2 linked regions of the Canis lupus familiaris genome follow. The protein of the gene in region 2 interacts with the protein of the main gene of each other region in a pairwise test. Links are inferred from orthologs where the notes say so. Each region holds a gene or a part of one and is shown on either strand. Other genes may lie near its edges. The genes, in order: RGS17 and HOXA1.

The links.
Region 1: the proteins of HOXA1 (region 2) and RGS17 interact in binary tests that used the Homo sapiens proteins (3 or more experiments, as listed by UniProt). The two-hybrid records come from large-scale screens. The link is inferred for Canis lupus familiaris from reciprocal best matches to the Homo sapiens genes HOXA1 and RGS17.

Annotation. Positions count from the first base shown.
Region 1 is NC_049222.1:43,600,525-43,604,332, forward strand, and holds part of RGS17 (regulator of G-protein signaling 17), read right to left. Parts: intron 774-3,808; exon of another isoform or gene 770-773; coding exon 670-769; intron 1-669. UniProt on the Homo sapiens protein: Regulates G protein-coupled receptor signaling cascades, including signaling via muscarinic acetylcholine receptor CHRM2 and dopamine receptor DRD2.
Region 2 is NC_049235.1:40,366,082-40,370,603, forward strand, and holds the start of HOXA1 (homeobox protein Hox-A1), read right to left. Parts: upstream 3,097-4,522; 5' UTR 2,800-3,096; coding exon of another isoform or gene 2,150-2,799; exon of another isoform or gene 781-2,149; coding exon of another isoform or gene 668-780; exon of another isoform or gene 526-667; coding exon of another isoform or gene 407-525; exon of another isoform or gene 314-406; coding exon of another isoform or gene 293-313; exon of another isoform or gene 185-292; 5' UTR 129-184; coding exon 1-128. Other genes in the region: WAS/WASL-interacting protein family member 1-like, read left to right, coding at 293-313, 407-525, 668-780, 2,150-2,799. UniProt on the Homo sapiens protein: Sequence-specific transcription factor. Regulates multiple developmental processes including brainstem, inner and outer ear, abducens nerve and cardiovascular development and morphogenesis as well as cognition and behavior.

The sequences.
Region 1 (3,808 bases), on a different chromosome or scaffold from region 2:
TTCCACAGGGCTAATTTCAGTTGTGGTGGGACAACTTCTCCTGAGGAGAATGAAGAATATCCAATGCAGTGGGCCAAATCTTGTTAACAGTGGTGTATGAGACTATTAATTCAATCTGAAAACTAAGAAGCTTTGGAAATGGTTCATATCAAACCTGGAAATGAAAAGTTTGGAAGTGTCATCTTCAAGTGGACAGAACAATGGACTGGATATTAAGAGACTTGCATTTTAGTTTCACTTCTGTCACTAATGAGCTTCTTGAAGGTAGGCAAGCTTCAGTTTCCTTATTTGGAACATCAGACACAGCATTTTCCAGACATCATTTTCTAACAAGGCCATTTTTTCTTCCAGCCAAAAGCATGGCGTGCCTGAGTAGTGCAGTCGGTTAAGTGTCCAACTTTTGGGTTTGGCTCAGGTAGTGATCTCAGGGTCGTGAGATCCAGCCCCGTGTTGGGCTCCATGTGGAGTCTGCTTAAGACAGTCTCTCCCTCTCCCTCTGCTCTTCCCCTACCCTCTCTCTCAAATAATCTTTAAAAAAAAAAAAAAAAAAGCTTATACCTAAGTCTAATATGTAAAATAGCTAGACAGAGCCATTCCTTTGGAAACTAGAAGCAGAGAGCCCAGGGCTGCAGATCCCAGCCCCAGACCCCCCTGGAGTCATCCCCTCACCTCCACCACACGGCATAAGAAGTCAATAGGACCATTCTGGAGAGATGAGAGCTGATGTCTCTTGAGTTCTGATTTTTCATGGTTGACCATGGAAATCTGTCTTGCTTGATAGGACACAACCAGGAAAACAAGAAATCAAAAAAGGGATGGATTAGCACCTAAAGATTTCTTTGAAAAACATTTTAACATAACCTCTGATGTTAGGAGAGAGCTCATGGGACAATTTGGAAATAGACATAAATTTTGAAGGCTCTACTTTCCATTTCCTTCTTGAGGCACTTTGCTTTCAGGAGCCCACAGCAGTTTCTACTTTGAGATGGCACACAGTGTGCCATCTACAGTGCATTGTGTGGCAGGGGCCTCACTGCCCTCTACTGTCCTAGAGATGGCAGTTTGGTGGAGAGCCCACAACTTTCAAAGACTTCTTTCTCATCAAGAAAAGGGAAGAGGGTTAATTACCTCTGTATGAATCCAGACATAAAAGGAATATTAAGTTTTCATAGTGGCAGCCTTGAACTTTTAGACAAGTGGTCTTGACAAAATCCTCTTTCCTTCTGGTCAGTACTAAGCATAGTCCCACATATAGAAGGACTTGTAAGTTTATACAGGGTTTATATTGTGGCCAAAACTCAGACCTCCGTGATTCATTCATGTTACAACAACTAACATGCTCTAAACCACATTCCCTTGTTTTCTCCCCTTGAAATGTAAGGCTGTGGGGAGAAAAGAGAAGTAGACTGATCTGAAGACAGAAGTGTTTCCTTGAAAGGAACAGAGAACAGATTGGCTTAACAAGTCATTACAGATTAAGTCTCAGCTTTTTAGACTTTGGAAGGAAACCGTGGAAATATTCAGCAGTTTTGTACTTAATCTCTATATCATCCCCCACCCCCAAAAGCACAGTGGTCATTTTATTACGACACAGTTAAGTTTAAATATGGGAGAGGAGCTGATGCTGAACTATGAAAGATAAATGCAAATTTGAGGGAAACACTATGATGTTGAAAAGATCCATAACATTGAAGGCCAGGGTGAGGTTTTGTATTTATTACTCGATATAGAAATTTACTTTCCTAGCATTTTATTTCCTTAAAAGGAGGAGAAATCAGCTACGTGACAACTGCTCCTTTTTACAAATGATAGTTACTTCCTATTTTGATTTCTAACTTTATTTTGGTCCCTAAGTTTAACATTTTTTAGTGTTTCTTTCTATTCTGCTCCTCTGACCTAGCCTGGAAAATTTGAAGAACATTTATTTCTTTTGTTTTCCCACTCTAATAAGGCTTTAAATATTTTTTCTTAAACCCAAAATAGAAAAATGATATTTTCAAAATGCATTTATTAAGGAGATTCTCATTTGCAATGAGATAACACTGTCACAATTAGAATCCATAGTTCAAGACGATTTTATTCTCATTTTTTTCAAGTTGTTTACATTAGAAATTACCTCTGATTTATCATATATGGAAGAGTTTATACATTTATAGACTGTGTGCTTTATGGCTTAGACTCAGGCACCCATGACTCATTGCTAAAAAACACAGTTCTCGACAAGGACACTTAAGTCTAGAACTCAGAGCCCTCATCCAGTGCACCAAATGTTTTAAGCTCAAATAGGCATCAACTCAGAGGTGTGGAGAGTTCATGCAGCTTCCAAAAGCTGTTTTGTTTTCCATCCATAGTCCGTTTTCTGTGACAATCTCATGCTCATGAGCTCATACTGAATGTTTTGTTAGTGTGTTCTTTAAGATTAATAAAAGCAAGTCTCACTAAATATATGCAGGAGAGGGAAAAAAAAGGAAATGTCGCCAAATAGGTGTTTGACAAGCAAATGAATATAGCGCAACACAACTTCCATACTCCTTATCTGTTTTGATGTTATAATCCTGAAGCAATTCAGAAATAAATTTTGGCAGGTAAATAAAATCATATACTGATTCCTGGAACATAGCCATAGTACAAATGAGAAATAGAAACATAATCTCCAACACTATGTAACAATATATTTGGGATGTCTCTTATAGAATCTAAAATAAACTAGCTTTCCTTTTGAAGATTAGTTTTTATATTATATTCATAAGTAGATCTTTAAAAAATACATATACATTATTTCAAGCGAGCTCCTCTTTAAGGAGATTTTATTTTCTCCAATATGAAGTGTTCTATCCAGTGAGCTAATTAATGCAAGAGAGAGAATGAGAGCGAAAGAAAGAGAGAGAGCACGAAGGCAGAGGTGGGAAGGTACAGAGGGAGAGAGAATCCCAAGCAGACTCCATACTGAGTGCAGAGCCTGATGCAGGGCTCAATCTCATGACCCTGAGATCATGACCTGAACCAAAACCAAGAGTAGGACGCTTAACTGACTGTGTCACCCAGGTGCCCCCAGTGAGCTATCTCTTAGATGCATACAATGTGTCAGGCACTGTTTTCAGCCTGTGTTTTATTTCATTTAATGTACAACAACCTGATGAAGTAGGGATTCTTATGACTGTAATTTGATATATGAGGAATTTGAGGACATTAAAATAACCTGTTGAAAGTCAAACAGATAGCGAGCATGAGTCAGGCAGTCTGACTTCCAAACCACCATATTAAGGCATTACGCTTTACTTCATGGATTCAGACCAAAGTTAAATGATCTCTTTAGGAGTGATAAAGGAAAAAATATTCACAATTTTATTGAAATATTTCCTTCTTCTAAAACTCTATTTCCTCCACCTGAAATAGTGAAGGCTTAAAAATGAAAGAAAAGGAGTCACTTATGACTTTCCTTAACAAAGAATCATCATCTGGGAAGCAGTTTTGATATTTATAAAAACTAAACCTTCCAAGTTACTAAAATGTCTGATGGTTTTTTGGAAATGAAGGTTCCTAGAAGGGATAGAGCTTGTTCAACACCAACACTACCACTAAAGCGTAGCACGTTTCATCTATTTTGGCCACAGTGATAGAATATTATGCCACCAAATAATACCAATAACTGTAGAGATCATATACAAGAAGATGATTCAAGCCTTTGGGCCTTTCTTCAGAGTTTTGACATAAGTCAGGGAGATCCAGAAGACCACTAACTAATTCAGAAGATCCACTTGTGAATTGGATTTTTTTTTAAACCATTTTATTTATTTATTCATGAGAG
Region 2 (4,522 bases):
CTGACCGCGCACGACTGGAAAGTTGTAATTCCATGGTCGGAAGGGTAGGCTCGCGCTGAGCAGGTCCCTGAGTCGCCACCGCTGAGGATGGGGTATTCCAGGAAGGAGCTCATTCTTGCATTGTCCATCTGTCACTGAGGGACCGGGTCCTGCGAAGCCCTGGGTGACCGTGCCAACTTTCTCACTTCCTCCATGGGGCCGGAGAAGAAAAATGATATGAATGTACAGTGCGCAAGAGGGGGGGCGCGAGGGCGGAGGGCGCAGGGGGAGGGGCACGTGACTCCGCCAGCCAATGGCGGAGCCTCCTGCGAAAGTTTGCTGGCTCCCGCGGTGATGGATCACCGTTTCAGTGGCATTTAAATCCCCGGCGCTGCTCAGTCTAGGTGACGCGCAGTCGCCCCCCCAGGCAGCCCAGGCGGCGGCGGCAGCTGCGGCGGCTGCAGGGGCAGATTCGGAGCGCTGGGCCGAAGGGGAGCAGCCGCCACCCTCTGCGCGCGCCGACTGCGCTCTCCCCCCCTCCGGGAGGTGGGGGCTGGGAGGCATCCCCGTCTCCGCCCCCTCCCCACCGAGCACAGAAAGATGAACTGGCGAGAGGTGAGAAGGGAAGAGGGCTCCGTCTCTCCGGGGTCGGGAACCAGCGGGCCAGAGCTCGCCGCCCTGCCACCAGCTCGGGGCCCGAGCTCGCCGTGCGCGGAGCAGGAACGGCAGCTCCCCGGGCGCTTTTCAGTCCACAGTCCCTGCTGCGGTGCCGGGGCAGCGAGAAGCCCAGGGGACAGTGGCGTAGGACGAGGCTGGGCCACCAGCTCTTCAAGCTCGGAAGGGAGAGGGAAGTGGGCAGAGGATTGGCCTGCAGGACCCCAGGTGGGCGTGGAGGGGACAAGAGCAAGGGAGAAAAAAAACAAAAAAACAAAAAAAACCCTCCCTTCTCCAAGGAGGGTCTCCGAACCCTACTCCCTCCACCCTAACATTATTAGCAAGGCAATGAGAAGCTTCTGTAATTCGACGCCCGGGAGCGGGTGATTGGTAGTATTTCAGCTGGCCGGAAAAGGCCGGGGGTGGCCGGGCTCTTCGCCCTCCCTCTCTCCTCGCTCTCCGCCCCTTTCTCCTCCCCACTCGGCTTTGCTCCGGGAGCCCTACGGGATCCGGAGCAGCTCGGCCGCGGGATTTTGAAGGGTTGGAGGCGGGGGAGAAAGATGACGCTAGCGGACGTGGCCAGCGTGGGGGCCGGGCGGTGCGCTGCAGGCCATCTGCCGGCTCCCCCGGACCCAGGAGTCTGCGCGCTCCGGCAGGGGCCTCAAAGGGCGAGCCCGCAGCTCCAACAAAATACGCTGAGCTCCCCCCGCAACGGTGCTCGTTTTCTGCAGGGGGGATGTTGGGAGTGGTAGGGCCTCCTTTATCCACTGACCGCCCCCTCCCCTTTCTACTGCACGTCTGAGGTGGGGGGTAGGGGCTGGCAGGTGGGAGGGGCGGGGGACAGATGGCTGATGGTGGACGGGATATTTTCTTCTTCCCCAACACCTCCTCCCCTTTGTAACTGCCTGTGTAGTTCCTTGTGTGAACCTTCAAGTCTTTCCCTAGAGAGACACGTGCAAATCTGAGCGTCATCCCAGGCCAGGGGTCCTGTTTTCCATCACCCTCATCCTACCCTGATGCTGACGGGGTCGTTAATTGCTGTTTACTATTAGGTTTCGTGTCAACCCTTGGCTTGTAGAGAGAAAATGCCAAACTGAGACCGAGGATTGATGCATTCTTAGGTAAAAGAAATCCAGAGATCATCCAAGAAGCTTTGCAGCCAATGCAGCATAGATTTGTCTCTGACCCTGTGTACCACATCGGAATCGAACAGATAAAAGTAATTTGAGGATGGGGTTCCCACTCCCCTCTAGCTTTCCTTCCCCAGTTAGAAGAAGAAAGTTTTGCTCGAGGCAGGCACATTTCAAGTGTGTTAGTCAACCTTTCAGGGTTCTCCATCCTGTTCTCCACTTATAGAAGGCTTCCCCCCTCCCAAGTCGCCCCTTCCCCCAGGGGAAACTCTTGCAGAAGTCAGACTACGGATTCCCTCAGTAGCAAAGAAACATTTCCCCCCCAACATTTCCTTTTGAAATGGTATTTTTCAATGACCTTTGACCTATCCCCAACCCCGGTTAAGAGAGAGCATGGACAGGAAAGGTCACTCCTGCCCCAATTTCAGCACCTGGGGACGTTCATCTTCGAGAAGGGAAAAGGAAAGGCGGCCCTTCTGGAGGCGGCTTCTTTGGGAGCTCCAGGCTTCCAGCGACGGGGAGAGGAGGGGCTCCTGTCGGGAAGGAGGTGGAACGTGAGAGGGTCCGTGCTGGCATTGCGGACGATCTGCCTTCCGAACCAAAGGACGTCCTTTCCCCTGGCCTCACTCCTTTGTTGGCTTCTTCAGCCCGGGTTTGCGCAACCCCCTTGGCCGCAGGGCTCGCGCCACAAAGCGCCCCGGGCCGCAATCGCTCCCCTTCCTCTGCTAGTTCTCGGCCTCTGCGCTCCACTCCTTCCACTTCTCTTCCTCCCTCCGGGCCTCATTCCAGAGCCAGCACGGGTGGGGGTGTTTTTCTTGGGACCACATGCATGCGCTTGCACACAGGCCCGCAAGCGCTCGGGGCCGCGACCGACCCACCTCCGCGCACTGCTCCCGGCTCCCGGCTCCCGGCTCCCGGCCCGCCGGACTCTCGCAGCCCAGCCGGCTCCGCCCCGGTTGGCCGCCCGGAGCGCTGCTCTCCGGTGTGGCTTACAAAGGCAGGCTCCCCTGGCCTCGGGCCCGTAAGGCTTCCGTAGCTCGGTTCTTTCCCCACCCCCACGAAATCCTGGGGCTCACTCCGCCTTGCAGAAGACCCTGGGCCTCGGGGCGTGTAGGCCAGCGCCCCACGACTCGAGCTGAAGTCCCTTTAAATGCCCCGGGAGAGAGAGTGGGCGAGAGGAGAGCTCGATCGCTATTTAAACGAGGACCTGCGAGCGGCTTGCTGGGCTCAAAGCGCCTCTTCCAGGGCTCTGCTCTTAGCAAGGAAAGGAGCAAGGAGGAGACAAAACGCTGCCGAGGCCCGGAGCTGTTCATGGCATCCGCGGCTCAGCCAAGCTGTTGTTTTAAAAGAGCAATAAAAATGAATTATGACTAAACGCCTTCTAACTTAATGCTTTCGGACGGGGATCCCCGGCAAATACGTAAGAGGATTTTTATTTGTGCATGTGTTCCTGCAATTGATCTCTTTGATGACATTCTCATTCATAGAAAGCGTTTGATTTATGAGCGTAGGACGAATCGCAAACAGCAGCGGCTCAGCCGGGGCTGCGGCCGGGCCGCCCTGCTCAGTTCCGCGCCTGGAGCTGGAGACCCGCCCGGGTCCTCACACGCCTCGGCCGCTGCCAGGATTTAGGGGGCAAAAGGGTGGAGGAAGGTAGGGTGCAAACCCATGGAGAGAGATCGCGATTTCTTTGTAACTTCCGAGCCTTAGCTATTAAGAGCCGGGCTCCTAAATCAACCCGCCCCCCACACATGTTGCTTACACGCTGCGTTTTCTCACGGTAAGTGGCCATCGCGGCAGAGCTCAGTAAGGGAAAGATCAGCATGGGGAGATGTAAGAAGGGGGAAAGAACCAGAACAACCCAGTAACGTGCCCTAGATCACATTTTATTGATATTTTATTTAAAGTGCTTGTTCTCTTTCTTTCTAGAAACTGGGTTAATTTATAACCTAGGGCGCAGAAACTCTCCATTTAAAATCTCAACTTGGTAACCTGACTTCACAGCTTTAATGATCCATTATTTGCCATGTAAACAGATTTAAGAATGAAATATTGATTTTTCTGACCCTGAAAAAAAGAATCCTAGAATGACTGAACCAAAGGATTGGAAAGAACCCTTTCTGAAGTGCATTTTCCAGCTAGTAACCATTGTTTTGTTTTGTTTTTGTTTTTCTCTACCTTTTAGGTCTGTTTGCCTGGACCCATCAACAGCTGGGAGACTAATCAACCACACTGAAAATGTTTCCGGGATTGTGGGGGAGGGGTTGGAATGTAGATGTTTGAAACAAATGTGTATAAATAAATGAATTTTGATAACTTAGTTATTGACCTGAAGACTGGTAGCTTGTTAAAGAAACTCCATGTTCCTCCTTCCTGGAGTTGGGGGTTTCTGTAGGCACTTTATTTCGCCACTTTCAAAAGCTTGGGCTTGGCTCAGCTCTGGGGCTACCCAATTCTGTTTCTATCACCAATTTAAATCTATGGCTTGAACCTCTACACTGAAAAACCAAATCCATTCCCTTTAAAAAGAAAGAAAGAAAAAAAGGAAAGAAAAAAAAAACACTTCTCAGAAGTCCTAACCATTTTCTGGTTTTCTTTTTTGTTGTTGTCTGTTGAAGACTTTGAACATGCCCCCTTAATAAATATATTAAAATGGAAAAAGAAGATGGATTGTGACCAGAATTTTATTTACCAAGTTAGACTAAAAGAAGAAAAAGAAACCGTTATGAGCCTTGAGAAAGAGGGGGGAGAAAAAAATA